4 linked regions of the Rattus norvegicus genome follow. The protein of the gene in region 4 purifies or fractionates together with the protein of the main gene of each other region. This does not show direct contact. Links are inferred from orthologs where the notes say so. Each region holds a gene or a part of one and is shown on either strand. Other genes may lie near its edges.

Region 1 (7,731 bases), on a different chromosome or scaffold from region 4:
AGGACAGTGATGGGGGAGGAGTAGAAGGGCCATTTGACCCCTGGGGCAGAAGGACCTTGGATGCCTGAATTCCCTGGGGCTCAGAAATAAGCTGGCAGTCTTTGGGGGTGGGCACCTGGCCTTATGAGATCTGGAATTGGTTATCTCTCAGCTTCCAGACAGCTCAGATCTGTGGGAACTAAGGGCTTGGGGGTTCCTGGGGCCAGAACCATAAGAGGAGTTTGAATCTTTTTACCTACACAGACGACGCCCGCGTCCTCCTCGTGAGAGCAGATATGAGCCTTCCAGCCCCGGTGGGGACAGATACCCAGCTGTCCCTCACTGCCCCGACAGGCCAGCTCACTGAGCCACACGGGCCCAGTGCCCTCCCCAAAGAAGGCACCCCCGGGGGCGGCTAGCGCCCCTCCGCAGCCCAACACACGGCAGGCCACTGCAGCATCCCGAAGGTCCCATCCGTCATCACACACGGTGCCCCAGCGCCCGCTGTACCAGACCTCCAGGCGTCCTGCACAGCCATGAGGGCCATCAGCCAGGCGGAGTCGCTCTGAGGGGTGAAGAAAAAAACTGTAACTCCAGACAGGAGTACTGTAGGCACGGTGACACCAAGGGTGGCGGTGGGGGGTGTGTGTTACAAGCTACCATCAGGAATCCAGCTACCCTGGAGGCTGGGCCCTGGTCCCAGACTCCTGGGTGCAAATAAGAGGAGTATCTCAGAGATGCTGGGGGCTGTGTGGAAGGACACTGAACCAGGGAATTCGGGCATCCAAAGTCCTTCTGCCAGGGGTCAAATGGCCCTTCTACTCCTCCCCCATCACTGTCCTCATAACTTTGCTTCTCTCCCATAGGTCAGCGTGCAGCTAACTCTAGAGAAGACTCAGTGTCCCTGCTGGATGGGGACCCATGGCCTGCACTGTCAGGGGAGCTGAGTGGAATCTGGGCAGCAGGGACCAGCAGGAGAGAGGGGAGGCTTAGAGCTGGGTGAGGCCAAGTGCAGAATCAGGACACTTACCTATAGCCTGGATCCCCACCAGCATTGCTGCAAAGGAGATTGGAAGGGACAGAGTGAAGGGTAAATCAGAGGGGAGGGGTCCTTTCCCCAGTGCAGGCTTCCAGCTTCAGTTCAGTGGGAAGCATCATTCACATACAGATTCCTCATACCTCTGAGTCAGAAGCCCCATTGCTGGAATGGACTTTGGGTGGAGGCTGGGATAAGTTACAGGTCCCTGGGGTGGGTGGGGCCCCGGATGCCTGACCCTTGAAGACAGGGCTGGGGACCATATTGAATGGTGGGAGTGATAGCTCCACAGAGTGCATGCAGGGGCAACAAAGGGCAGGTCACTTGAGTTGCTAGGCAGGACTAGCAGAAGGCTGGGTCCCTGAGGGATTAGAGGGGCCGACCAGATGTCAGGCTATCACACAGCACCAGGGACCAGAACAGGCTCCCTATAGTATGAGTCCCTGAACTGGAGAAGCTAAAGTGTCAGAGGTGAGGGTCCAGGCCCCTAAGGTGCCCCACCCCCCACGGGAATGGATCACTCACCAAGAAGACACGCCAAGACCCTCATGTTTGCAGAGTCCAGGGCAGGGGATGGGGTGAAAGGGGAAAGAGGGCAGGAGAGGGGAGGCGGAGGCAGCCAGGGAGGATAGGAGGGAGGGAAGCCGCTGCTGAGGCGCCCTGGACAGCTAGGAGCAGGCTGGGCTGAAGGCTTTGCCAGGAGGGAGAGAGGCTGCAGGGATGCAGCAGGGGACAGGAGGGGGAGGGGGCTGGCCACAGCTGAGCCTGGAGGAGGGGGGGCGGTGGGCAGGCAGAAGGGAGGTGTTCAAGTGCAAACACCCACACTGGAGGGAGGCGGCCAGCCAAGCTCCAGAGGGCCACGCGCTTAGAGATGCTTCTGGGGATGGCAGTTCTGGGAAGGGGCAGGCCTGGGTGTCTGGGGGACAGGGCTGAGGGCACACCCTTTTGCCTCCTCTTATTGTCCAGCCAGGCAAGTAAGTGTAAACGGGAGTGGACAGATTTGGGGGAATCCTGCAGTAGCAAGAGGGCCTGCAGCCAGACACTAGGAGGGACTTCCTAGATCTAGAAGAGAAACTGAAAAACCTCTCTCTCCATTTGACACCCACTGTGGCAAATCTGGATGGGAACCTCCCAGTGCCTATTTGAGGAAGGAGTGTCTGAACTTACAACTTACCAGTTCCTAGAACAAAGGTATGGAGGGTAGAGAGACCAAGGGGGTCAAGGCCTCGGTTTGGAGGGGGTGTACACACACACACACACACACACACACACACACACACACACACACACAGCAGGCAGCTGTAAAGGGAAAAACTTTGGTAATGGGGAGCATGACTCAGAAGGCCTGGCAGAGACTGGGCTGCCGCTGTGAGCTCACTGCTTCTCCTTTTCCCAGCACAGTGCACGCGCCTCCCCCCCCCCAACTTCTCTAGCAATTAATGTCAACTTTGGAGAGGAGGAGCCAGACAGAAGGAGGGAGTCTGGAGAGAGCAGCTGGAAAATGCATCAGAGAGGAGACAGGCACACAGAAGTTTCAGGATTTATTAACAAACAGTGTAAAAAACCAGATGGTCTTGGAGACACTATGCTCCCAGTCCCACCCACTCCCAGAAGATCTGTCCCCTTTGGGAGTTCCCTGTCAGACTCTAACTCTGAGAGTCTCAGTCTCTCTCTCTCTCTCTCTCTCTCTCTCTCTCTCCCCCCCCCCCAGATATCCCTTCCAGACCTCAAATACACGCAACAGGGGCTTTGTAGACCCAGAACCACAAGTTTTTTCAGTGCATACAGACTGGGGCTGGGGGTTGGGGGGGGGGAGAAGTGAACAGGGCGACTTCTAGTGGTCCCAGAAGACCAAGAAGGAATTTGTTCTATTTGAGTTTAGAGTCCCCATTGCATCTGGCAGGTCCACTGTGAGCATGTAAGTCCATCAACCTTGGTGCCTCACTATCAGCCCAGCAGACTAGGTGGACACTGCGGGAGGGGATGTAAAGTGCACGGCACACAGTAGGTGTTCTTTAGGTGCTGGTTCTCTGCCCATCTACCCAATGGGCATAGTCTCCAATCACAGGTCTTTGCTGAATTCCCTAACCAGCATATAGCCCATGCAGCCCCAGCCTCCCTCTGCCTGGTAGCCACAGGCCTCCAATAACCCTGACACACCCCAAGCGGCCACAGCCACTGGGACCACGAGCCGGGCCCGAGGCTCCCCCACACTCCCAGACCATGCTCGGGCTCGGGCCTCAGCAAAGGCCAGCAGCCTCCTGCCCACGCCCCTGCGACGGTGCCATCGAGAGACAGAGAGGCGGGTAACTCGGGCTCCGTCCCCCAAGTTGGCACCAGGGGCCAGAGCCAGGACTCCACACACATCGCCGGATCCCCGGACAGCCACCCAGGGACCCCCCAGCCCGCCTGGTGGAGGCAGAGAGCCCCATCGAACTCGCAGACCCAGCTTCACAGCCGCTACAGCCAGAAACACGGGCAGCAGGAGGGCCAGGGCGAAGGAGGCCAGGATGAAGCGCAGTCCACTGCTGGCTGCAGCCAGGAGGAGAAGGGCTGGAGGACGTGTCAGAGCGTGAAGGGCCACACGGTTTTCCGTGTCTTTTACACCAGCCTGTGGGTGGGGGTAAGGGCTCAGTCATTGGAACTCCTGAGGAAGGATTCCCGAGTGAGTAGAGAAGCCTGCTGATAGGGTAGTAGTCTGGCCCATTGGGTGTGAAGGACTGAGTGAATGCAGTCTGCCTGAACGAAAAGAATGAATAGGGCCTGGGGCCAATGAGTCCGGATGGCATTCTAGGGTAAAGCACCAAAGAAGACTGAACAAGATAGGCAAAGCGAAGACATGGGCTCTTCGCTGGAGGGTCTGGGGTGAGTGTGTGAGAGAGAGAGAGATCACCCCTCATTTTGGGGCTGGTAAGTGGAACTGAATGAAGATCAGGAGACCAGAATATTCAGCCTCTACACCCTTACAACTAACTGCTTTTTAAAAAATGGCAGCTGAGATGTAAGTAGGATGAAAGCACTAGAGAAAAGAGACCAATTAAAACTGCTGAGGCTGGTACGGCCCCCTCCCCCTTTTGTAGGTTCCCGGGAGGTCAGGCAGGTGGGCGGGGCTAGTGGAACCCACTTTGAGCGTCCCTAAGTAGCTGCGCATGCTCACTGGTGCCCCTGCCGGCCTCTCACCTTCAGCATCTCCAGCACCAGGGGCTTCTCATCTTCCCTCATTTCCCGCACTGACAGGTGGTTGGGGGCCATGGTAGCCCCCAGGCCGCCCCCCAAGGAGGGAGCTGGCGTTGTACACCTGCTGAAAACAAGTAGGTTGGTGTTAGGTGGGCACCTGAGTCCTAAAAGCCCTGGGAGGAACGGGCTGCAGCATTTCCCAGATCACCAAGGATGCTGGCGCATCGTCAAAGAGGACAGTCATAGTCGCAGGCCAGGTGCCTCCATACCTAATGGGGCTCCTTAAAAATCTTCCCAAATCGTCCCCCACTCCAGGGAAGGCATTCAGCGATCTGTCTTAAACTCAACCTCTCCCCATACTCTAGCAGCCAGTCTCCTGAAGTGGTCCCACCCCGCATGGCAGGAATAGGGCCCAGCAGGCACCTCCACGGGGCTGCTCGAATCCCTTGACAGTAACGGGGGGAACGGAGTCGGGGGCGCCGGGGGGGGGTGGTCATCGCCGGACGTGACGTCTACGCTCCCGACTGGAGGCGGGACCAGCGCCTTAGCAACTGTTGCCAAGCTTTCCCCACTATGGGGCAGGGGTTGGGAGTAATGGAACTGCGAGGACGAGGGAAGAGCTGTGACCTGCTGGAGGCCAGTGGGAAAACCATGGAGAAAGGGGGATGGGAGCGTGGAACAGAGAGAGGGTTCCTTACCCGGCCTGCCTGGGAGGACTAGCACAGCTCCTTTCTTGCTGGTTCTTCGTTGCTAAGCGACCTGAGCATCAGGAAGAGGAGGCGTTGCTTGTGAACCTAATCTCATTGGCGCTTGGGTCTTTGCGGGAAGGGATGGGGGCAGCAATGAGCATCCCCATCCTCAGGGACCTTTTTCTCGACCCGTGTGGTACCTGGGGTATCGTTTGGATAAATAATATCCCTCTACCTACCTTTCAGGTGAGGTAAAGGTCAGGGTGGTTTATAGGAAAGAAGTGGAGAATCCAGAATTTGACCCCTGACCCACCTTACTATAGTAAGTGTAGTTGCACACGAACATATACAAAGGACAGGAAAGGACCAGAGAAATAGCTCAGGAAATAAGAGAGCTTGCCAAACAGAAACCCACACGGCTGACTCCCACTAAGTATTCTCTCTGACCTCCACAAGTGTACCCCACCACCACCACCACCACAGTAAAGTCTTAACAGTTTAAAGAATGGGGGTGTTGGGCCCCACCCCAGAGAAGCATTTTGCCTTCCAACTACAAAGCAAGTACTCTCAGAGCCAAGAAGCAAAAACGAACGAAGACTTTCAGGCCTGAGGCAGAAGCTATATTTATGACTATCCCCTTCCCCATGAAAACAAAACCAAGAGGAGATTCTGGGTCTTTATTAGCAAGTCCAGCCAGCAGCCCCCTTGACTCTGGGGCTGACCCCAGCCCAGCTGAGGAGAACAGTTAATTGCGGGGGAAGAGGGTTTGTGACAGAGCTGCTACTGGGTCTCTTCAAAACGTGTGTACCAACTGGACTGCAGGCAGAGTCTGCACTATCTGGATGGAGGGCAAGTTCTGGGGAGGCATGACCCCTGGTCCAGTCACTGCGGGGACCACTTGTACCATCTGGGATGGGGGAGCTACAGGCACCCCCACAGGGGCAGAGACCGGGCCAGGTGCTGGTGGGGCCAGGAGTTGCAGCGTTGTGGTACCTCCTGCAACGCTGCTACTTTCTAGAAGGTCAGCAGCTGGGGCGCTACGAAAAATAAGGAGTTTCTGTCCTGATGGGTCAGTGGCAGCTGGCTCGGTCAGTCCAGGCGAAAGCGTTTCCACCTCCTGCACACAGAGCCTAGTCTGTTCCCCATCCGCTCCACTCAGCACCAGCACACTCTGCAGCCCCTCATCTGTCTGCAATGTCTCAAACAGGACATCCTGAACCATACCAGCGCTGGCCTCACTGTCTCCCACTTCCCCAGGTCCAGAGCTGGTCAGCAACTCTTCAGCTGCCCCACTCTGAACCACCAGCAGGTTTGGAGCCTCGGTAGCCACAGCTCCTCCACTAGAATTGGAGACTTGTCCTGTCAGGGGCTGGAGCTGGACTGTAGTCACCTCCTGTGCTGGTTGTAGCTGGACTGTGGTCACTTCCTGTGCAGGCTGTAGTTGGACCGTGGCCACTTCCTGTGCTGGCTGAAGCTGAACCCCACTCACTTCCTGTGGTCCTGTCTCCCCACTCCCTACATTCTGTAGAACAATGAGGCTCTGCCCGCCCCCGCTAGTCCCAGCATTGCCTCCTCCTTGCACCCCTAGACCACCTGGGCCGGGAAACCACACTACCCCTGTCCCCTGTCCAGCTTTCCCAACAGCCCGAGGGCCTGGCCTTGCAGCACCATTGCCCATACCTCCAGCACTGGCAGGAGGCAGCAGAATGAGTTTAGGGGGTGGAGGCGGTGGTGGTGGGGTAGGGGGCTGGACACTGCTAGGAATCAGCTGGAGGCCCTGGGCAGTCTGTACCAGGAGAAATGTCTGTGAACTGGGGGCAACTGGGCCTGGGGGTGTAGCCTGAGCTGTGCCCCCAGCTACTTCGAGTGAAAGTATGGCCTGTAGGTTAGGGAGAACATGAACATCTTGAGCGGCCAGTGGAGTTGGAGCTGCAGCCAATGGGGTAGGGGGCTGCGATGCTACAGCAGGGCCAGTGGTCCCCGAAGTTGTAGTGGCTGGGGTGTGCGTCCTCAGATGCCGCTGCAGGTAGGCGGCCATGACAAAGCCTCGGCCACAAATGGGGCAGGCAAAAGGGCGCTCCGCAGAATGAGTTCGCTGGTGCAGCAGCAGGTTGGAGGAGTGTGTGAAGGTCTTGGGGCAGAGCGGGCAACGGAAGGGTCGCTCGCCCGTGTGCACACGTTGGTGCTGCCGCAAGTTGGAGGTCTGTGCGAAGCTCTTGCCACACACGCTACACGAGTGGGGCCGCTCGCCAGTGTGCACGTGCCGGTGGCGCCGCAGGCACGAAGTGTTACGGAAGGCTTTGCCACACTCAGTGCAGGCATAGGGCCGCTCACCAGAATGAAGTCGCAGATGGTACTGGTAGTGGGACGACCACTTGAAGGTGAGGCCACACTGGCCACAGGTGAAGGCTCGCAGGCCCGTGTGCACACGCTGGTGGATAGCCAGCAGGGAGGAGCGCTTGAAGGCTTTGCCGCACTCCCCGCATTGGTAGGGCCGCTCACCTGTGTGGTCCCGCAGGTGGTAGCGCAGCCCGGAAGAACCCTTGAAGGCCTTGCCACACTCTGCACATTTGTAGGGCCGCTCTGCAGAAACTGGGGCAGGTGGAGGAGGAGGTGGAGCAGGAGTGGCTGGGGCTACAGGTTCCTGGGGACAGGTGACTTCTGCAACTTCAGCCTGAGGTGGTGGGCGTCCAGCTGCCGCCTCCTCCACGTGGCACTGCTGGTGAGCCAACAGGCTGGCCAGTTGTGGGAAGGCACCATCACAGCTACCACAGCGAAAGGCCTGTCCACTGGCCGCACCATGGCTGTGCTGGTGACGGGACAGGCCTGCCACTGTCTGGAAGGATTTCC
Region 2 (7,854 bases), on a different chromosome or scaffold from region 4:
GACCCCTAACTTTCATCTATGTTTTTATTGCTGTTTTGCCTAGTTTTGTCTTTTTGAGACAGTGTCTCAATGTAGACAAGGCTGGCCTCCAACTCACAGTAAGCCACCTGCCTGTTTCCCAAGGGATCAAAGGAGTGTGCCACCACATTTGGTGACTATGTATTTCTGATATGGCATAGCATATACATTCCTAGAAAAACATCAAGGCCGGTAGAAGGCTCAACGAAACAAACAAACAAACAGCATGTCTAGGAAAAATACAACAAAGTCAACCCCCACCTCAACATTGACTTTACCACCAGAACACTAACAAAACACCAGTCACACCAGGGTGCTGCTGCTTCCTGTGATACTAAAACCACACAAAGAGCAATATGGCAGTGCTGAGTTTATGCCCAGAGAAATGAAAACTTACTCCCCAAGTAGTGGGTTTGGAGGGGAACGACCACGCCCAGCCCTACTTGCTTCTTTTTGAGATAGTCTTTCTTTGCCTCCATAGTGGTGCAACTACAGGTGTGCAATGCCACATCCTGCTTGGATTTACTTCAAATTAAAATCAGAAACTGTTTTTAACTTTGCTAGAGAAAAAGAGCTTTAGTCTGTATCCAGATCTTTTACAAAACCAGGGCTGAATGAAGTGCGACTTCTGAGGTATTACTATTTTTGGAGCACAAAACTCCCTGGCCTTTAAATATCATTCCAGTGAGTAAGTTGGTAAAGTAGACTAGAAAACTATTTACCCAGACATCATCTCCTCCTAACATGGGTTGCTCTAAGCTGTCTACCTTACTTTTTATTCAGCCATAGTGTAAAAATCTAAATAAATGATGAAAGTACCAGACACCTGCTTACGTATTACCTCAGACAGTGTCAAATCGCTCTGAGCATGCATTCTCAGTTCATTTTCATGACAACACCCATGAAGAGGACCACCCATTTCCTCATTCAGTGAATACGGAAGCAGTCTTACCTAAAGCTCACTCTCTACCTCTACCTGCAGCTTCAAGGACACACACTGACCTCATGGGACTCTTTCAACAATTAAGTGAGCTAATCCACACAAAACACACAGGGAATAAGCATACGCTAAACGCTATTACTTGTCCTCAGATCTAAGAGCACACAGGCAGTACAAATTGGGTTATTTTAAAAAGAACAAGGTCTCAAAGTTGGAGAAGGGTGTATCTGGGAAGAATTCAGAGGAGTAGGGTATGTGTGTGATTATTAACCAAATTCTTTTTTTTTTTCTTCTTTTTTTCGGAGCTGGGGACCGAACCCAGGGCCCTGCACTCGGCTCGCTAAACAAGCGTTCTACCGCTGAGCTAAATCCCCAACCCCTTAACCAAATTCTTAAAAACAAATAAAAGCCTTCCAAAAGCTATTGTTTATTTATTTACTGCAACAACAGCTTTCATCTGCTCAAGTACGTGGCAAAATTGGATGACTAAGGGCATGTCCTTAGCTGATGATATGTCTTAGTGGTAGAGTATGAGAGGTTCTTTATTCCACTTCTAGCTACATATACATATGTAATACAGAAAGTATGTATTATATATCCAATATACCGTGCCACAATAATATGTAGTAATACAATGCATAAAATCTAATATATAACACATTATATATATATACACACACACACACACACACAAGTCATGAGTGTAGATAAAATACTTCCCATCCACCTCTCACCTCTAAACTGAAGTCTAGCATGAACGTAACAGTACAAGTACTGCCCACCTCGTGGCTTTTCATGGCATTATGGACATGAAGACAGCACAGTAACTATCATCACTGTTGGAGGGTTAGACTGAGGCTCCAATGTATGAAACAGAACACAGCTCCTTTTCTAAATCAGGAATGAGCTTGGTGGGGCAGGTAATAGCCTGAGACCTGGGCCTTGAGGGAGCTGTGGATCCAGGTCCTGAGAAATCAAGTCTTCCGGAACATCCTAAGGGACTATGGGTCACAGTCCCAAGGCTGCTATGTGCTCTGTTTATGACACTGTGTGCGCCCCCCCCACCCCCAACTTCTATGTAAGACATTGTACTTTTGGGCTTGAAGAAATGGCTCAGTGGTTAAGACCTTGCAGTGGACCCAGGTTTGATGCCCAGCACTTACACAGTGGCTCACAATCATCTGTAATTAAAAGTACCGGGAGATCTGATGCCTTTTTCAGGCCTCCACGGGCACCAGGCACATAGGTGATACTGAGTCTTCACATACTAATACTCATGCACACTAAAAAGAGATGCTCTACTACCTAAAAAACTTGCTTGTGGGAGCCATCAGCCTGTGTGACACCTCCTGATCCTAAACGTTCTTATCTTCAGGATCACATCCCCCTGGCCGTCACTCTCAGGAACCTGTCATTGAAGAACTACTTACTGATCCAGGTCAATTACCACTGCTGTTATGCAGCTGTTGTACAACAAACCCAGGGCTTCACATATCATCGAAAAACACTGTCACTACTCAGCTCTGAACAGGTTTCCCACTCAGGGCTCGCACTCTGACACATAGTCTTATGGCTCACCCAACTGTTTCTGCCACTAGGCAGTGTCACCAATCTCAGTATACGCTATTCACATCTCGTTTGTTGCCATACTCTAGTATCTCTTGCCGATGCATAAAAGGCTTGCGGCTTTTGGTGCCCACGAGTAACTGATGCTTCTTTAATCTCAATAAACTGTTTTACTTCGCCGAGACGGACAAGACAGAGTCTTTCGTTGGTTTTCCTGTTACCTCCTCGTTTGATGAGAACAGACACACAACAGGCACAAATATTTCTAGAGAAGCAGCCTGAGCCACGGAGTGAGTTAGCATCTCAATAAAACTACAGAAGCACACGGGAAGACTGGAGCCCGCCCTGTCCACCGCGTCGCGCGCCGGGCCCGCCGCTCCCCCGGACACGGCGCCCGCCCAGGTTTGCTCCGGCCGCGGCTGCCGCCAGCGCCTTCGCAGTAGGACACCGGCTCTCACCGGCTGCCTTCGCTGTCCGCGCCCGGCTCGGGATGCCTCCGTCCACTGTTCCTCAGCACCATCGCAGGGTTCCTGAGCTCCCTCCAGCTCCCGGGAAAATTTGGCGCGCTCTCATGTGCTCTCGCGAGACTACAGCTCCGGCCAATGAGAAGGCGCGGCCTCAGACGGACGTGTCCGGGGCCCGCCCCGCCGCGCCCCTCGGCTCTCCAATCGTCCGCCGAGCGGGGAGGCTGGGTCGCAGGGACTGAGGGAAAAGAGTGTGCAGGCTGGCTGCGCGGGTGGCGGGACGGCTGGGTCCGCTGAGGGCCGAGGCAGAGCAGGAAATGTCAGGCCGTCCCCGCCCTGTGCCCCAGGTCCCGGGCCGGGCGCCCGGCCGCCAAGCTGTTGGGTGGGCGCCCGGGACGACTCAGAGCCGGGATCGCGATGGCACCTGCCGCGTCAAGGCTGAGGGTGGAATCCGAGCTCGGGTCGCTTCCCAAGCGAGCGCTCGCCCAATACTTGCTGTTTCTAAAGTTCTATCCGGTGGTCACCAAAGCTGTCAGCAGGTGGGCGCACACTGGGAAGAGAAGTGGAAAGGAGGGCTGTCAACAGGGGAGACGCTCGTGCAGGGGAGGGTGAGAGAGAGGGGGCCGGCCGACAAAGCAGCTCCAATCCTGGGGGTGGAGCAGCAGTTCTCAGCCTTGAAGGTTGGACGGCCTTTCCACAAGGGTCTCAGATCAGATCTCCTGTATAGAAGGTATTTACGTTAAGTTTCGTAACAGCAGCAGCGCTACAGTTTAGAAGTAGCAATGGAAGCAGTCTTATGGTTGGGGGTCACTACACCACGAACATAGGAAGGTTGAGAACCACTGCTATGGAGGAATGTGGGTACCAAAGGCAGAGTTCTGCATTAAGGTGCGCCCTGTTCTGCTTAGCCACTAAATGCCAGTTTGTGTATTGGGTCCCAAGCGCTAACCTTTGCAGTCTGAATGTTGTGAAGACCCGCGAGTCAGGGACACATTCCAACCCTGAGCCACCAAATGCACTGTTGCTGGTGAACTCTGCCCTTTGATCTACATCTTTCGATTTCCTAACGAGATATCACCCTGTTTCTGTTAATTTTTATTAGTGAATTTTCTAGGTTTGTTCTCTACTAACTTAACCTTTCACAAGTGTGTACAGAGTGTTTCCTGTGTTCTGGGCACATAGCTGTGATCAAAACAGGCTCATATGCTTTTTCTGTCTTGGAGCCGAGAAGGAACTAGACCACGCTCCCACCCCCACACCCACCCCAGCAAAAGGCAGATAAATGTATAACTTAGAGCAGTTAGGGAAATTTCTCCTGTGTTGTTGACATTGATCAGAAGCACAGAGAAGAGAAGCAGTTGTTCACAGGGCACAGTAAGTGCAAAAGTTCTGAGAGAAGAATACAGGGCATGTTGGAAGGGTGAAGAGAAGGACTCAGGGGAGAAAATGTAAATGGAAGGAAGAAGTAACTAGGGGTCAAGTCAAAAGGGTCCTTATGATCCACACTAAAAGTTTTGGATTTTATAGTTTTTAGAAGACAGCTTGGGGTTGGGGATTTAGCTCAGTGGTAGAGCGCTTGCCTAGCAAGCACAAGGCCCTGGGTTCGGTCCCCAGCTCCGGAAAAAAAGAAAAGAAAAAAAAAAAAAAGAAGACAGCTTATAGACCTGTGGTGGTTAATGCTAATTGTCAACTTGATGAGGGGATTATCTTGATTAACTTAATTGACCTGGGAAGATCACTAGGAATGGCCCCATTCCTGGTTGGTGTCCTTGACTGTAAGTGGAAAAAGTGTGCTAGCTTTTTTTTTTTTTTTTTTTTTTAATCACACCAACATAAAAGAAACTAAGACAAGACCCATCCTTTTAAAGAAGCAACTGGTCCTGTCTTCTTATTGAGAATTTCACTTCAGGAGTGTAAATTTACATACTACTATTATAGAAGTGTTTTGTTGTTGGCTTTTTTGTTGTTGTTGCTTTCTTTTTGTTTTCAAAGAGAGAAAGAGAGAAGAAAAGAAAAAAATCCCTGGTGAATTCTGCCCCATTTCAAATGTTTATTTAAAGGGGTTGGGGATTTAGCTCAGTGGTAGAGCGCTTGCCTAGCAAGTGCAAGGCCCTGGGTTCGGTCCCCAGCTCCGAAAAAAAAAAACCAAAAAAACCCCCAAATGTTTATTTAAAAAAACTACAGCATAACATAGAGTTTCCAGCTTGAATACAGCCCACAGACCATGGTCAACTACAGAAATGTCCTCAGGAGGATCCCCCCATTGCCTTTTATACCCATGCCTTCCGTGGAGCAGCTGTAGGGATGTTGGAAGGCACGCAGTCCAGCAGGTGGAAGTCTCATTGTGCTCATCTGTGGTTTGGCTTTAGGTCTTAGAGTCTCCGTCTTTATCTAAGCAAGTTACTTCAACAAGGACTCCAGTATCCCATGATCTACACAGCAGGATCTTACAGCAGCCCTGCTATGGCCATGCAGGAGAGGCAGGCCCTTGTGTCTGTTGCTCATTTTCTGATTGCCTCTTCCTCTACAGTGGCATTTTGTCAGCCCTTGGAAACCTTCTGGCCCAGATGATTGAGAAGAAGCAGAAAAAAGACTCTCGAAGTCTAGAAGTCAGTGGGCTTCTCAGATATTTAGTTTATGGGTAAGTACCACAGAGAGCTGCCTCATCTCTGCAGACTGAGCACAGCAGAGCTGCCTGTCAGCATTAAGCCTTTGGGATACTTTGTTTTAAAAACCTAGTTCTGGGGCTGGAGAGATGGCTCAGCTAGGAGCGCTAACTGCTCTTATAGCCAACCCAGGTTTGATTCCCAGCTCCCATGTAGCAGTTCACAAACATCTGTAACCTCCAGTTCCAGGAGATCTGATGACCTCTTCTGACCTCATAAGGCACCAGACACATACTTGGTGCACGAATATACCTGTAATGTAAATATCCATGCACAAGAAATAGAAAACAAAAATTAAAATTAAAAAAGAAAAAGGAAAAAAAAATAATTCTTTAAGCAGCATCAGAGAGCAGGTATGTATGGTGGTGTATATCTTTAATTCCAGCATTCAGGAGGCAGAGGCAGGTGAATCTCTGTGAGTTTGAGGCTAGTCTGTTCTACATAGTAAGGCCGTGTCTCAAACAAAACAACAAAAAAGAAATATCAGAGGCCGGATATGATGACAGAGACTTTTAGCTTAGCCCTTTGCAGGCAGAGGCAGAGACAGTAGTATTGCCACAAGTTTCTGGCCGGCTTGTGCTATGTACAGAGATCTGCCTTTAAAACAAAATCCTCCTTGAGTTCTTTGACCACCACTAATGAACTGGCTGGATGATTTGAAGTCTTTCCAATAGGAGTGATTTTTAAAAAAAAAGAAAGAAAGAGAAGAAAAAAAAGAAAGAAAGCTGGATGGTGATGGAACTCACGTTTAATCCCAGCACTTGGAGGGTGGAAGCAGGCCAATCTCTGAGTTTGAGACCAGACAGGTCTACAGAGGGAGTTCTGGGACAGCCAGAACTACACAGGTAAACCCTGTGTCCAAAACAAAGAAGCAAACTTTGTGTGGGTGTGTGGTGTTAGATTTAAACCTGTGGCTTCATATACGTTGTCACTGATCTCACCTATCTTCATCATTTAGTTGGGTGTGCTAGTATTAGTACTTGGGAAGCCAACCTCGTCTAAATGGTGAGTTTCAGGTCAGCTACACCTGTATTAAGCCAAAATAAATAAGTAAATAAGTAAGTAAATAAATAATCAGAAAGACCCCCCCCAATGTGTGTAAATAAAAGAGACTGAACTCTCTCATATATCCTGTGAACTCTGATGATCCCCTTGCCTCCTGCGTGCTAGGATTATAGATGTGCGCTGCCTTATCTGTTTTTTGGTTTTTGTTTGTTGTTTTGCAGTGCTGGGAATCAAACCCAGGGTTTTTTATTTGTTTATTTGTTTTGCATACTTGGGATTTACTCTACCAACTGAGATTTTTGATACCCACAAAAAGCTCCCAAGAATAATAATTCCACACCATTTATTAAAATGTTTATGAAGCAACACCCCCCCCCCCATACTTTAACAAGTAACCTTTACCCCTCTCACATGGTCTTGGCCTCCCAAAGACTTTAGTGGCCCACAGTGATGCAAGAAAGTCCAGCTGAAAGCCTTGTTAACAGATTTCGGTTGTTGGAATTGACGGTTCCTGCCCTTCCCTGTATTACTGTGCTTTGTGAAACTCAGTTTAGCTGGACTTGGCTCATTCCCAGGTGAGCCAAGTGTGGACTAGAAATCCGCACTTTAGAGAAGGCAGAGGGTAGTACCAGGTTTTCTCTTGCCAGTTTCCACCAAAAGTTTGAAAATCTCTGGGAGCTGACCTATGTCTATTTGTTTCTCAGAGCCTGTTAAGGCATGAGGGCACAGACAAGGACAGACAGCATAATTGCCTGGAACACAGAGGAGTCAGATGGGCATAGACCTCAGCCAGGGCCATCATTGTGGCTGTCCCAGCTCACCAAATGGAAGAACTGGCAGAAGTAACTTCAGTCTTTGTGGGCAAAAAGACTGCCTGAAACTGGCTGAAAGGAAGTTTGTTTTTTTTTTTTTCCTAGAATGTCTTTATAAATTTGCATGGCCAATAAGTACTTTAGGAAGAAAAGAGGACTTAGGATCTGAGGTGAATCTTGGGACCAGAGACAGAACTGTAGAAAGAACCACAGTGCAGCTCACACCCCTGTGGCGTCCAGGTTGTTTGTCACAGGTCCCCTGAGTCACTACCTCTACCTCTTCATGGAGTACTGGGTCCCTCCTGAGGTTCCCTGGGCCAGAGTCAAGAGGCTCCTGCTGGATCGCCTGTTCTTTGCCCCAACCTTTCTGCTGCTGTTCTTCT
Region 3 (7,218 bases), on a different chromosome or scaffold from region 4:
CCAAAGCCTCTAGGTGACCAGAGTGTGGAGAAGAGATATGCCAAGTGCTTGGCTCAGCTGTGGTCCTTCCTCAAGGCTCAGGGATGTCGGGGGTGGGAGTGGGGGGCAGGACAAGAGGAAAGGCAGAGGTGGAGAGATGAAATCGCTCCTAAGTTTCTGTAAATAACTCCCAACTTCCCTCTGTCAAGAAACCATGCTCAATGGCCACATTGAGAAGGGCAGGGTCAGGAGGATTTGCTGAGAAGGTTCCGGTGCAAAGGGAGGGGATGAGAGAGGATTGGAGTTGAAAATGACTAAAGTTCACTATCTAAACGCAAGAGATTGTCAGAGAGTTAAGTGCAGAGCCATGAGATAGCTCAGTGGGTAGCGCTGGCTACAAAGCTGCACCCAAATTTTGATCCCAAATGCCAATGAGTTTGCTTTGCTCTGCTCTAGGAAATGCCTTCATGGGTGGCATTTCTACCCTGCTCCCAAATCTCCAGGAGAAGAAAAAATAAACAGGGAATGCACTTGAGTTCCTAACACTGGGAGGGAAAGGGATCAGAAATTGAGGGCTATCCTTGAATACATAGTAAGTTTCGAGACTATCTCGAGGTATATAAAACCTGTGTCCTAGTCAGGGTTTCTGTTGGTGGGATAAGACACCAGGACCAAAGCAAGCTGGGGAGGAAAGGGTTTATTTTGCTTATAGTTCTGTATCAGCTCATCATCCAGGGCAGTCAAAACAGGAACTCAAAACTGGACAGGAACCTGAAGGCGGAGCTGATGAAAGAGGCCATGGAGGAGTGCTGCCTACCAGCTTGCTCAGCCTGCTTTCTTACAGAACCAAGACCAATACCAGGCCAGGGTGGCTCCACCCACAATTACCTGGGCCCGCCCACATCAGTTACTAATTAACAGACTTGCTCGCAGCTTGACCTTATGGAGGCGTTTTCTGATTGGGGTCCTCCTGTCAGAAGACTCTACCTTGTGTCAATTGACAGAAAAACTAGTCAGGACAGTCCTGAGAGACGTCAGGACATGAACTAAACGAAGGAGAGGCCGTTTGCTGCTAACTGGGTGTTCCTCATGCCTCGCTCATCCTGTTTTCTAATGCCATCCCAGACCACCTGCCTAGGGGGTGGCACTGCCCACAGTAGACTGGGTCCTCCCACATGAATCACTAAGAAAGTGCCGCATAGGCTTCCCCATAGCCCTGGGAGTCTCTCACTTGTGGTTCTCTCTTCTCAGGTGTGTCCACTTGTGTCAAATTCACAGTAGCAACAAGCAGGACACTTGTCTCCTTAAGAAATAGATTATTTAATAAGGTAGAAGCCAGGAGCTGGGCATGGTGGACTTTTCTCTAATCTCGGTACTTGAAAGACTGAAGCAGGAGGATCTCAAGCTTGGGACTGGCCTGCAAGACAAGGGAGGTCAGGAAATGCTCTTGCCTGCTGTGCTGTGCACACGGCCTGCCCTTGGTTCTATCCTAGAGATGAGTGAGCAGGAGGAGGACCACCGGCCAGGAAAACAAGTTTGTAAAGTTAGTGTTGAACGCTTCTCCTCCATCTGCAGGGAAGAAAGGAACCAAACCCAGGTGCTGAGACAACAGCAGGATGAAGCCTACCTGGCTTCTCTCAGGGCAGACCAGGAGAAAGAGAGGAAGAAAAGGGAGGAGAGAGAGCGGAAGCGCCGGAAGGAGGAGGAGGTGCAGCAGCAGAAGCTGGCGGAGGAGCGAAGGCGGCAGGTGAGCCACACCTCTGTTCCCTGCCTTTCGATTTGCTGCTTGCTTCTGGCCAGGACACACCCTTTCCCCAGGACCCAGTGCCTGTCCCTGTCAGCAGTGCGTGTGGTACAGTAGGCCTGGTCCTTGTTTCTTACCAAGAGGGTTTTTTTTTTCTTTTTTCTTTTTTTTTTTCTTTTTTCTTTTTTTTCTTTTTTTTTTCGGAGCTGGGGACCGAACCCAGGGCCTTGCGCTTCCTAGGCAAGCGCTCTACCACTGAACTAAATCCCCAACCCCAAGAGGGGGTTTTTTGAGGGGTTGCTTTTAAAGTTTTGTCCAGCTGGATGTAGTGGTACAGGCCTTTAATCTTACCACTCAAAAGGCAGAGGCAGGATTGAGGCCAGTTTATCAGTTTGAGGGCAGCCTGATCTACATACCAAGTTTTAGGCCAGCCGGGGCTATATGATGAGACCCTGTCTCACTCGACCAGGGAATAAGGGAGCGTTTATTTATCCGTTCTGTGTATGCGATGTGAGAACACAGTACACACATGCCAGAGGCTTCTGTGACGGTCTCCCTCCCCCCTTTCCATGATTTCTGGGATGGAGCTCAGTCTGTGTCAGGCTTGTACCTTCAGGGCCCACACCCCATTACCTGCTGAGCTGTGCTCCTGGCCCCTCAGTGATTGTTCGTCAGTTTTCAGTGAACATTCGTGACCTTTACACCCCTGTTCGGCCACATCCTCACCTTTGCTCTGTCTCTAGAACTTACAGGAGGAGAAGGAGAGGAAGCTGGAGTGCCTGCCCCCTGAGCCCTCCCCAGATGACCCTGACAGTGTCAAGATCATTTTCAAGTTACCCAATGATTCCAGAGTAGAGCGACGATTCCATTTTTCACAGTCTCTAACAGTAAGGATCACCTAAGCCACATGGTGTTATAGATTGGGACTGTAGATGTGGAGGGTGGAGGGCAGAGGACAGACCAGGGGAGGCTGGTTGGTCTCCTTCCTTTGTCTGGGTCCCCGGGATGGAACCTTCAGGCTTGACAGAGGGACCTGTGCATGCTGAGCCCTGGTGAAGGGCTTCTGCTCCCCTTCTAACCGTGTTCTGAACTACAAAGTGTGCAGTTAGCACAAAAGGTAAGACACAGAGACCTAGCACAGAATGGAAAGGAGGCGTGGCCATGGGAATGAAGCAGTGAGAGCAGCACTCACACCTGCTTTGGGGGTTTTGATTTCCAGTGCTTAGAATGGAAGTCAGGGTCTCCCATTAAGCTGTCTCTCCAGCCCTGGGTTTTTAAATGTATTTTTCTTTTTCCTTTTTAAGATTATTGTATTTTATGTGTATATGTTTTGTCTGCATGTACATCTGCACACCAGAGGAGGGCATTAGAGTCCATGAGAGTTACAGGAGACTGCTGTCATAGATGTTTATGAACTACCAGCTGGGTGCTGGAAATTGAACTCAAGACCTTAGGAAGAGCAGCCAGTTTTTCTAATCACTGAGCCATCTCTCTAGCCCTGGAGTTGCCTCCCAGAGTTCCTGCTATGTAGTACGCAGTCAGCAGATGTTGTTCTCCTTGTTTCCTATCTACAGGTGCATGTAGATCTTTGAGGGGGCAGGAGGGGGTTCGAGATGGGTTTCTCTATGTAGCCCTGCTGTCCTGTAACTTGCTCTGCAAACCAGGCTGGCCTTGAACTCAGAGATCACCTGTCCCTGCCTCTTGAGCTGGAACTAAAGGTGTGTGTCAGCATACCCCACTTTGTATGTGTATCTTAACTTACAGATTCACTCCTCAGTTTCTCTGTGGAGTTCCCTGAAGTTTCTACTCCTATCCATACTCAGAGGAACAGTTTCTATGTGTGAAACCTAGCAAGGTGCCTTAGGCTTCTCATTTGTTTTAAAGTGTGTGTGTGTGTGTGTGTGTGTGTGTGTGTGTGTGTGTGTGTGTGTACACGTGTTTGCATGTGTTGCATTTGGAAATCAGAGGTCAACCTCAGATGTCTTTCTCAGGATGCATTCCCTATTTCCTGTGACAATCTCTCCTGGGACCTGGGCTTGCTCTCAGGTCCTAGGATCTCCTATCCTCCCTCCCCAGCACGTCGTCATTATATTTCACGTGTCTCGTGAGTGTTTTGTCTGCCCGTACATATGTATGTGCTCTGCATGTATGCCTCAAGCCTGAGGAGGCCAGAGCTGTTGGATCCCCTAGAACTGGAGTCACAGAAGGTTGTAATCTGCCATGTGGGTTATTCAGCTGGGCACCAAAAACGGAACCCACATTTTCTGCAAGAGCAGCGAGTGCTCTCAACTTCTAAACTGTCTCTCAAGCCTCTCTTTCTTTTTTTAAAGACCTATTTATTTTTATTTTATGTATATGAGGGTTTTGCCTGCATGTATGTCTGTATACTATGTGCTTGTAGTGCCCGCAGGCACTAGAAGAGGGCGTTGGAGCCCCTAGAACAGGGCTTACAAACAGTTGTGAGCTGCCATGTGGGTGCTGAGAACAGTCCAGGTCCTCAGGAAGAGCAGCCAGTGCTCTTAGCACTGGGCCATTGCTCTAGCCCTGTCCACTTTATTTACTTGTAAAGATTTACTCTGTGTGTGTGTGTGTGTGTGTGTGTGTGTGTGTGTGTGTGTGTGTGTGTGTGTGCGCGCGCGCGCATGCGTGTTGCTGACAGTTGTGAATTACCCAGCAGTGCTGAAAGCTGAATTTTGGTCCTCTAAGAGAGCAGCAAGGGCTGTTTTACTGCTAAGCCATCTCTGTGGCCTTATGAATAAAATCTTACATAGTTTTAGTTTAGTTGGAAAAGGGGCTTGGAGAGAAGAATGACATCCAAGGAGTCACAGTTAAATCCCATGCTGGCCTGGAATTAACCATTCATTGATAGTAACATGACCAAATAATTTAGTATTCTTGAAAACCTGGTGCCACCTGCCCTCACATATAATCTTAGGAGTGACACATCTGCGTTAATGGCCAGCCCTGATGGCTGTAGTACAGACCACTGAGTGTAGCAGGCTTCCTTCCACCTCAGCAGAGAGGGAACGACATGACTGACGACAGGGTAGACTCTGAGTTCTAGGACAGCCAGAGCTACAGAAACCCTGTCTCAAAAAAAAAAAACAAACCTTAAAAATAAACAGCCATCTTGAACAGCTCTCCTTGGAAATGGCTGTTTCTGAGACTGGACCAGGAGAAAGAAAAAACATTAGGCTACAAAATGACTTGTCAGAAAGCAAGGCATTGTTCCTAGAGGGATGGGGACATGTGCACAAGACATGAAAGCCAGCCATCCAAACTCAACTCTAAGTTTGAACAGGAACATAGCTGCTGACACTGCATAGCCTATTGGCTAAACAGGAAGTGTGGGACCTCCATTAATAAAAAAAAAGTGGTGGGGCTGGAGAGATGGCTCAACATTTAAGAGCACCTACTGCTCTTCCAGAGGTCCTGAGTTCAAATCCCAGCAACCATATGGTGGCTCACAGTCATCTGTATGTAATGAGATCTGATGCCCTCTTCTGGTGTCTGAAGACAGTGTCAGTGTACTCATATACATAAATAAATACATCTTTTTTTAAAAAATAAAAATTAAAAAACAAGTTTAAAAGACTGAAGAACCTTGTTGTTTCAGAGTACATCCCTACATACACCCCCAGTTAGAGAAAACCTGGTCCCACCTGAACTGTCATCGGTGTGTACCATAATTAAATGTGCACAGTACTTTCAGTTCACTGGTGTGAGTACTTTAAACCATTTTAAGGACAGGAGAATGCATGAGTTATAGCTGAATGCCTGAGGAACTTGGCTTGGAGGAGGATCCTGAAACCTCCATGGTATGGAAGGATAGCATATTAAACTTTGTAGTATATCAGTTAAATGCTCTGATTTTGAGGTTATTTAAAGTCTTCTGAGATAATGGGATACCAGGTTGGCAGACAGCTTAAAATGAACTCAAAGGGGATAAATATTCTGAACACTGCCTTCCAGCTTTTCCGAAACCATGCCTATTTCTAGTAAGTATTGTTTGCTTGGGTGGTTGTAATTGCCCCATGCTGCTGCATGCCTTTGATCTCAGCATAGGGGGAGGCAAAAGAGGCGGTGGATCTCTGAGCTACATTGTGAGACCCTTAAATAAGTAAAGAAAAATTTTAAATTGTTTAGCTTTACCTAAGGTCAGATTCTTGGGTGGCAGGGCTGGGGTGGGGGGAGTCAAAAGACTAGCTTGTGTGAATTCTTTTTTTTCTAAGACATGCTGTCTGGAACTCACTATGTAGACTAGGCTGGCCTTGAACTCACATTATTCTGCCTCCAAAAGTGTTGGGCTCGTGCAGTCTTCTGTCTCCTTTACATGGTATAAGGCACTCACAGTGAACTGACAGCACTGAGCACAAGTAATTATGGTGCTCACTAGTACGTCGTTCAGGTTTCCCACTGTAGGGTTCTCTAACTCGGGGTGTTTGTAGGGACGTACTCTGGAGCTATGAGGGTATGAGGTTCCTCAGTCTCTTAAACTGTTTTTCTAAAGGCATGGGCTGCCACACTCCGGTGAACTCTTTAAAAGAAGGTAGAATTCCATTAGAATAGGACTACTGTCTGCTTGGGTCTTCCTGGGGAAGGTTAGGACATGGGACTTCACAGTGAGTCTCTCCTTACCACGTTCTTTTTCTGTGTGGCATCTACAGGTCATCCACGACTTCTTATTCTCCTTGAAGGAAAGCCCTGAAAAGTTTCAGATTGAAGCCAATTTTCCAAGACGGGTACTTCCCTGTGTCCCTTCAGAGGAATGGCCCAACCCCCCCACCCTGCAGGAGGCGGGACTAAGCCACACAGAAGTTCTCTTTGTTCAGGACCTGACAGACGAATGACACTTTTCTGCCTCCTTCTTCCCACCCCAATCCCTAAAAGAAATGGAAAAACAAAAACAGAGAACAAGAGATAAATTCATATTATTATTATTATTATAATACAATATTTTTTTTAAAAAAACTGCTGCATCCTGCGGAAGGATCGGAAACCATGCTGCCTGCAAGAGGCACAGCCTGTGTGCGTGTGCAAGGCCGGCAGTGAATGCACCTGCCCAGCAGACTCGCCTTCCACAGCCGCCTCTCCATCCTCCAGTGAAGACTTCACCTCCAACCCATCCCTCCGCCCACGTGGGGAAGGAGACATTCCCACTGTTTCTCAGTCATTCTTGCTTTTGTAGAAAAGAAAAAAAGAAACCCACCATCAGCTCCAGCAGCAGCTCCTGAGGACCTGCTTCTCCTACTTCCAGAGGAAGAGGGGAGAGAAGGATGGACTGACTGCCCACAGTTCATGAATAACTTTGTTTCTGTTTGCTTTGTAATGATAATGACCAAAGGAGTGAGGCTGACTTAGGTGTATTTTTTCCTCAGATTTGATAAAGAGCCAGTGCCCTGGGCTCCATGGCCCACGGCGGTGTAATAAAGGTGCCCTGGGCTCATTTGTGCTTCCTTCTGCCACTGTTCCTCTCACGGTCCCAGAGGTATCCC
Region 4 (7,218 bases):
TACCCACCATGTCTCTTGTCTCCGAAGGTGCTCTTGATGATTTTGATAAAGCCAAACCCTCCCCAGCACCCTCTCCTACCATCTCGGCCCCCGATGCTTCAGGGCCCCAGAAGAGATCGCCAGGAGACACTGCCAAAGTATAAATTCTATCCCCTTAAGGGAGGGGGAGGATGGGTATGCAGTTCAGAGCAGGGGTGGGGCAGGCCCCTGTGGGCCAGAGGGGTGGCTGGGAGGGTACCTTTGCCTCATACTGCTGAGTGTACTTCCAGGCCTCAGTTCCTATGAAACAGGGATAACGAGGAAGTGCCTCGAGTAAAGAGCAGTTTTAAGTGGTTGGATTTGTGTGCTGCCTCAGATTATTCCTTCAATGGCCAAAGTCTTTGCTTGCTGTCCTCCTGAAAAGAGGCAGATGGAATGTTCAGTGGAGGTGCTTGTGGGGGAAGATGTTTCATTTCCCAAAACCTACAATCTGAGCTCCTGTAAGAGGCTAGACCCAGGGTGATGCTGTAGGAGGCAAATTTTGTAAACCTCTCCCCTGCAGGATGCTCTCTTTGCCTCCCAAGAGAAATTTTTCCAGGAACTGTTCGACAGTGAGCTGGCTTCCCAAGCCACCGCAGAGTTTGAGAAGGCAATGAAGGAGCTGGCTGAGGAAGAGCCCCATCTGGTGGAGCAGTTCCAGAAGCTCTCAGAGGCAGCTGGGAGAGTGGGTGAGGAAGCCCCAAACACAAAATGCTGGACAGACCTCTTAATCGCTTAAGAATAGCAGGATTGTAAAGTTGATAACAGTCACGATGTCACAGTCACAGAGTGGGGCAAGGCAAGAGGAAGAGACATGGGAAGCTTGCTTACTAAAAGAAAAGGGTAAGATGTTTTGGGAAGCAATAAAAAAAGGTTATTCCAGTCAGGCGTAGTGGCGTATTCATTCAATCCCAGCACTTGAGAAGCAGAGGGAGGTGAATCTTGTGAGTTTGAGGCCACCATGATCGACATGGTGCATTTTAGAACAGCTAGAACTGCAGAGTGAGACGCTACCTCAAAAATAAATATGATTCTCCCAAACCAACCCTTGTAAAGGAGTGTTACTGTAGCGAACAACCAACACGTTATCAATATAGACTTACGGCATGACCGTGAGGTAAGTACAGAACAGTGGAGATTTGGAAGAGGTAGTAGTTTCCTAGGAAATGCTTTATATCCAGACTGGTAACTAGGCAGTGTAGACAAGCTGACAGTTAAAATCCTAGGTAATCCTCGTTCTTTCCATCTCTCCTAGGCAGCGATGCAAGTTCTCAACAAGAATTTACTTCTTGCCTAAAGGAGACATTAAGTGGGCTAGCCAAAAATGCCACTGACCTTCAGGTAAAGGGAAAGGAATAAGATGTTTCCTGAGCATTCTCTCAAAATAGATGCTCTTGAGGTGGGCGGTGCTGGAGCGATGGCTCAGTGGTTAGGAGCACAGGCTGTTCTTCCACAAGATTGGGGTTCAATTCCCAGCACACACATGCCAGCTCACACTTACCTATAACTACAGTTCCAAGGCTTCTGACACCTTCACAGAGATGTACATGCAGTCGGAAAAAAAAAAAAAAACATAAATAAGATTAAACTTAAAAAAAAAAGTCTAAGGGTTGGGGATTTAGCTCAGTGGTAGAGCGCTTGCCTAGCAAGCACAAGGCCCTGGGTTCGGTCCCCAGCTCCGAAGAAAAGAAAAGAAAGAAAGAAAAAAAAAGTCTACTTCTTTTTTTTTTTTGGTTCTTTTTTTCGGAGCTGGGGACCGAACCCGGGGCCTTGCGCTTCCTAGGCAAGCGCTCTGCCACTGAGCCAAATCCCCAACCCCAAAAAGTCTACTTCTAAAAGCTCTGGCATATCTCCCCAAATCTGGCCCCCTTTGATTTTTGTTACAGGCAAATTTCGATAGTTGTTTCCACCTGAAAGTGTGGTAAGCATTTCAGGAAGGCAGTGTGCCTGTTCACCTCTCTTTTGTCTTGTCTAGAACGCAGGCATGTCTGAAGAAGAACTGACAAAAGCCATGGAAGGGCTGGGCATGGATGAAGGAGACGGGGAAGGGAACATTCTCCCCATCATGCAGAGCCTCATGCAGAACCTCTTGTCTAAGGATGTATTGTATCCATCCCTGAAGGAGATCACCGAAAAGGTCTGTGAATTCCCATTTCTGTCTTTTCTCCTCACTTCAATATATCAATAGTCTGGGCCACTTGGCTCAGACTATGCATAGTAAAGGCAATTTGAGTGGGCAAGTACAATTTTTAAAAACACTCTCGCAGTTGTTACTGAGAGAATTAAGCTACATTGGTGATCTGATCATCTATCCACACTGGGAATGTCTCAGCTAAAAGGGGAAATTTCCAACTCTAGTTTTCTATAAATGAGTTCAAGACTTTGAGTTTGACTGATTTATTCATTCTTATATTCTTTACTAATTCCGCCAGTAAGGACTCACATGATTTAGTGGTGGTGTTGGAAAGTGTTTAAGCGATGATGGTTCATGCTTGAAAGAGCTTATAGTTTGACCAGAGAAATGAAGTAGAGAAATACAAGCTCTACAGCATCACAGGCAACCTGTGGCCGAAGAGCAAGAGCAGGAGCTGCGGACCAGTGTTTGTACAGGCTCAGTCTGACTGACTCTCAGTGTTTGTACAGGCTCAGTCTGACAGTCTGACTCTCAGTGTTTGTACAGCCTCAGTCTGACAGTCTGACTCTCAGTGTTTGTACAGGCTCAGTCTGACTGACTCTCAGTGTTTGTACAGGCTCAGTCTGACTGACTCTCAGTGTTTGTACAGGCTCAGTCTGACTGACTCTCAGTGTTTGTACAGGCTCAGTCTGACTGACTCTCAGTGTTTGTACAGGCTCAGTCTGACTGACTCTCAGTGTTTGTACAGGCTCAGTCTGACAGTCTGACTCTCAGTGTTTGTACAGGCTCAGTCTGACTGACTCTCAGTGTTTGTACAGGCTCAGTCTGACAGTCTGACTCTCAGTGTTTGTACAGGCTCAGTCTGACTGAATCTCAGTGTTTGTACAGGCTCAGTCTGACTGACTCTCAGTGTTTGTACAGCCTCAGTCTGACTGACTCTCAGCGTTTGTACAGGCTCAGTCTGACTGACTCTCAGTGTTTGTACAGCCTCAGTCTGACAGTCTGACTCTCAGTGTTTGTACAGCCTCAGTCTGACAGTCTGACTCTCAGTGTTTGTACAGGCTCAGTCTGACTGACTCTCAGTGTTTGTACAGGCTCAGTCTGACTGACTCTCAGTGTTTGTACAGGCTCAGTCTGACTGACTCTCAGTGTTTGTACAGGCTCAGTCTGACTGACTCTCAGTGTTTGTACAGGCTCAGTCTGACTGACTCTCAGTGTTTGTACAGGCTCAGTCTGACAGTCTGACTCTCAGTGTTTGTGCAGGCTCAGTCTGACAGTCTGACTCTCAGTGTTTGTACAGGCTCAGTCTGACTGACTCTCAGTGTTTGTACAGGCTCAGTCTGACAGTCTGACTCTCAGTGTTTGTACAGCCTCAGTCTGACTGACTCTCAGTGTTTGTACAGGCTCAGTCTGACTGACTCTCAGTGTTTGTACAGGCTCAGTCTGACTGACTCTCAGCGTTTGTACAGGCTCAGTCTGACTGATTCTCAGCGTTTGTACAGCCTCAGTCTGACTGACTCTCAGTGTTTGTACAGGCTCAGTCTGACTGACTCTCAGTGTTTGTACAGGCTCAGTCTGACTGACTTTCAGTGTTTGTACAGCCTCAGTCTGACTGACTCTCAGTGTTTGTACAGCCTCAGTCTGACTCTCAAGTTGAGAGTATTTTTTACACTGTTTTTAAAAGATTTATTTTTATTACAGTTTTTAAATTAGGGGTGTGTGTGTGTACACATGAGTTCAGGTGCCTACTGGAGGCCACAGCCATCAAACCACCTTTGAGTTGGAGTTACAGCTGGCACTGAACCACCTGATAAGGGTGTTGTCGGGAATGAAACGTGAAGTAATTCGGGTCTTCTGCAAAAGTAGTGTGTACTCTTAACCACTCAAGCCGTCTCCAGCCCTGGTTTTTATATTTTTTTTTTCTTTTTTTTTCGGAGCTGGGGACCGAACCCAGGGCCTTGCGCTTGCTAGGCAAGCGCTCTACTACTGAGCTAAATCCCCAACCCCTGGTTTTTATATTTTTAAGTTTAAAAACAACAGGGCTAGGGAGAGATGGAACACTGGCTGCTCTTCCAGAGGACCTGGTTCAATTCCAAGTACCCACATGGCAGTCACAGAGGTCCATGGCCGGCTCCAGTTCCAGAGGATTCGATGCCCTCTTCCATCTTCTGAGAGACCAGACACACACGAGGCACACAGATATAAATACATGCAAATATTCATACAAATGAGATAAGAGTTTTTTAAAATTACAATTAATGACAACAACAGAGGGGTTTGTTAAAGAGCACTTGCTGTTGGTCGCCTGGATTCCGTTCCCAGGCCCAACGAGGTAGCTTATAACCATCCATAACTCTAGTTCTAGGGTGTCTGACACCTCTCTTTCCAAGTACACCAGCTATGCACATGGTACAAATATATACATGCAGGCAAAACACTAATGAATACAAAATAAACGTAAATAAATCTTAATGCAACAATAGCCCAACAGTGTTAACTAAGACCATATGTGACCCTTGTCCTAGTTAGCTGCAGCTGTCAGCTTTACACAGCCCAGAGTCATCTGAGGGAACCTCAGTTGGGGGATTGCCCAGATTAGATTGGACTATGGCCATGTGTGTGAGGAATTACCTTGATTGATGGTTGGTATGGGAGGGCATAGCCCACCGTGGGTGGCATCAACCCTAGGCAGGTAGGCCTAAACTATATAAGACGGCTAAAAGCCAACCAAGTAAGCCAGTATGCAGTATTCCTCTATGGTGACTGAGGTTTCTGCCCTTGGTGATGGACTGTTACCTGAAAGTGTCAAATGAAATAAACCCTTTCCCCTCCCAAGTTATTTTTGATGTTTTATCACAGCAATAAGAATGAAACTAAACAACCCTTAGAGGCTAAATCTTGCTTTTCACAAGCATAGTTTACTAATCTGCAGTTACCATGTATACCAGTGTGTCCAGATGATCTGCTGGAGTCAACAGTACTTTGTGCTTTTCATGATGAACTTGCTTGCTGCATCCCTTCCCATCCCTCTCCTCTCTTTCTTTAGTATCCAGAATGGCTACAGAGTCACCAGGAGTCTATTCCCCCAGAGCAGTTTGAGAAGTATCAGCAGCAGCACAGTGTCATGGGCAAAATCTGCGAGCAGTTCGAGGCAGAGACGCCCACAGACAGCGAGGCTACTCACAGGGCTCGCTTTGAGGCGGTACTCGATCTTATGCAGCAGGTAAGGCCTCCTTACACTGCCTCCCACCCTTAACAACCTCCACTCCCGGATTCACCACTAACAGGAGATAAGAGAGAAACAAGAACAGAGGGAAAGAAGTCCCTGAATCTAATTTCTCTTGTGTCCTCTTTGACCACGGCTGCTAACAAACTACAGCCAACCTCCCTAAACAACCAACAGCCCTGCCCTCTTCGCCCCTCTTGGGGCCTTGAGTTTATGTAGCCTCAAAAAAGTTCCTGGAATTCCAAACCTCACACAATCACAGAAACTATCTGCAGCTGGCAAAGCCATGCCTCCGCCAGAGCATGCAGCAAATCGTGGTCAGCTGCTGCTGTCAGTCTGAAGCAGCCCCATATCTCCATACCTGGGATTAAAATGAAAGCACACTCTTAAAATATTTCTGTGTTTTTGTTTTTTTTTTTTCTTTTTTTTTTCTTTTCTTTTTTTTTTTTTCGGAGCTGAGGACTGAACCCAGGGCCTTGCTAGGCAAGCGCTCTACCACTGAGCTAAATCCCCAACCCTTTCTGTGGTTTTTTTAAAGCAACGAAATTCCAGAATTCTCAAAAATGTCACTACAATGACTGCATACCATGATCAGAAAAAAAAATCAGATGACTAATCCAATTCTTTTTGTTGCTTTTGTGTTTTCTGTGATTTTCAAATTTTTTTTTTTTTTTACTCTTATATTCTTTTTATTTTCTAGTTACAGGACTTGGGCCACCCTCCGAAAGAGCTGGCTGGGGAGATGGTGAGTATGTCTTGTATATTTTAACCCAGTTCCCAGTTTGCAGAAGCCAGTAATCCTTAGGTAATCCATATAAGGTGATCATTGTGGCTGCTAAGGACGGACCTTCAGAAGCTCTGACCTGAAATATGAGTGATTTTCTCAGCCCCTTTGTCTCTTCTCCAGCCTCCTGGCCTCAACTTTGACCTGGATGCCCTCAATCTATCGGGCCCACCAGGTGCTAATGGCGAACAGTGTCTGATCATGTGAAACACAACACGGTTTCCTCCCTGAGTCCCAGCCATGGGGAACATCTGGAATCAACAGAGTCACTGGGAACTGAGGCAGGAGTATCATCTGTGGGAGCTGCTGCCCCACACTCTCTACATCCCATTCAAGACTGTGCCATACCAGCTGAGGACCTGTTGTAGGCCTTTTCTATGAGCCCTACTCCATTATGGTGTCTGCTGTTAGAAACGGGCCAATTATTTGCTAGGTGAAGGAAGGCATCCCTTGTGGGGCATTTTACTTCTTCCCACTCTCCAAAATAATGTTACATGTGGTGGTACTCATGTTCCCCTTGATTCCCAGGGACTTTGTGCCTTGTTTCTACTCCCTCCCTTGTGTCTGGGAGCAAGAGCTAAGTCCTAAGACTGCGCTTCTCTTAGGCAGGGCCTCTGGGAATGAGGAGAAAAGTAGCCTGGGTGGGGCTGGAGGCTTGTCACAGTATCTGCTAGCCTTCTTTTGGAATTCTCCGAAGGGAAAGGAATTTTGCACTTAGTCAGCAGGTTGAAAGCAAAGCCTTGGGCATTTCCTGTCCTTAGGTGCTGCGCCCTAATTCCCCTTTCCTCCTGAGAGCTCAAGTTGATACCCTGGTTCTTTCTACAACTCCATGATTTAGGGGACCCCCCGCTCTTGACTTTGCTTTGCCCCATGACTATCCTTACCTCCTCTCTTTAGAGTCTTATTTATTCTGCTCTTTTTAACTAGGGCTGTGATGGATGGAGGCTAATCTTGTTTCCTTTCATCTAGTACCTGGACCATTCTCACTAGACCCTTCTCTGCCTCTTTGGCCAACACATACTTGTGGTGTCAGATCTGGTACATGAATGGCCATTC

The links.
Region 1: the proteins of Pex19 (region 4) and Nat14 purify together in Homo sapiens (co-immunoprecipitation; 3 studies listed by BioGRID and IntAct, counting the BioPlex papers as one, with this or other methods). This does not show direct contact. The link is inferred for Rattus norvegicus from reciprocal best matches to the Homo sapiens genes PEX19 and NAT14.
Region 2: the proteins of Pex19 (region 4) and Pxmp2 purify together in Homo sapiens (affinity purification with mass spectrometry; 3 studies listed by BioGRID and IntAct, counting the BioPlex papers as one, with this or other methods). This does not show direct contact. The link is inferred for Rattus norvegicus from reciprocal best matches to the Homo sapiens genes PEX19 and PXMP2.
Region 3: the proteins of Pex19 (region 4) and Faf2 purify together in Homo sapiens (affinity purification with mass spectrometry; 4 studies listed by BioGRID and IntAct, counting the BioPlex papers as one, with this or other methods). This does not show direct contact. The link is inferred for Rattus norvegicus from reciprocal best matches to the Homo sapiens genes PEX19 and FAF2.

Annotation. Positions count from the first base shown.
Region 1 is NC_086019.1:77,936,887-77,944,617, forward strand, and holds Nat14 (probable N-acetyltransferase 14), read right to left. Parts: upstream 4,616-7,731; 5' UTR 4,317-4,615; coding exon of another isoform or gene 4,268-4,316; coding exon 4,196-4,267; intron 3,627-4,195; coding exon 3,078-3,626; 3' UTR 2,546-3,077; downstream 1-2,545. Other genes in the region: soluble scavenger receptor cysteine-rich domain-containing protein SSC5D precursor, read right to left, coding at 236-544, 1,010-1,036, 1,541-1,565; Zfp628 (zinc finger protein 628), read right to left, coding at 5,675-7,731. UniProt on the Homo sapiens protein: Probable acetyltransferase. May act as a transcription factor that regulates the expression of coproporphyrinogen oxidase by binding to a promoter regulatory element.
Region 2 is NC_086030.1:52,050,576-52,058,429, forward strand, and holds the start of Pxmp2 (peroxisomal membrane protein 2), read left to right. Parts: upstream 1-3,375; 5' UTR 3,376-3,405; coding exon 3,406-3,527; intron 3,528-5,518; coding exon 5,519-5,629; intron 5,630-7,711; coding exon 7,712-7,854. Other genes in the region: Pole (DNA polymerase epsilon catalytic subunit A), read right to left, coding at 2,983-3,044. UniProt on the Homo sapiens protein: Seems to be involved in pore-forming activity and may contribute to the unspecific permeability of the peroxisomal membrane.
Region 3 is NC_086035.1:9,954,601-9,961,818, reverse strand, and holds part of Faf2 (FAS-associated factor 2), read left to right. Parts: intron 1-1,554; coding exon 1,555-1,726; intron 1,727-2,466; coding exon 2,467-2,610; intron 2,611-6,390; coding exon 6,391-6,573; 3' UTR 6,574-7,218. UniProt on the Homo sapiens protein: Plays an important role in endoplasmic reticulum-associated degradation (ERAD) that mediates ubiquitin-dependent degradation of misfolded endoplasmic reticulum proteins.
Region 4 is NC_086031.1:87,126,505-87,133,722, forward strand, and holds part of Pex19 (peroxisomal biogenesis factor 19), read left to right. Parts: intron 1-27; coding exon 28-137; intron 138-541; coding exon 542-707; intron 708-1,273; coding exon 1,274-1,359; intron 1,360-1,993; coding exon 1,994-2,155; intron 2,156-5,198; coding exon 5,199-5,375; intron 5,376-6,078; coding exon 6,079-6,123; intron 6,124-6,265; coding exon of another isoform or gene 6,266-6,285; coding exon 6,286-6,369; 3' UTR 6,370-7,218. UniProt on the Homo sapiens protein: Necessary for early peroxisomal biogenesis. Acts both as a cytosolic chaperone and as an import receptor for peroxisomal membrane proteins (PMPs).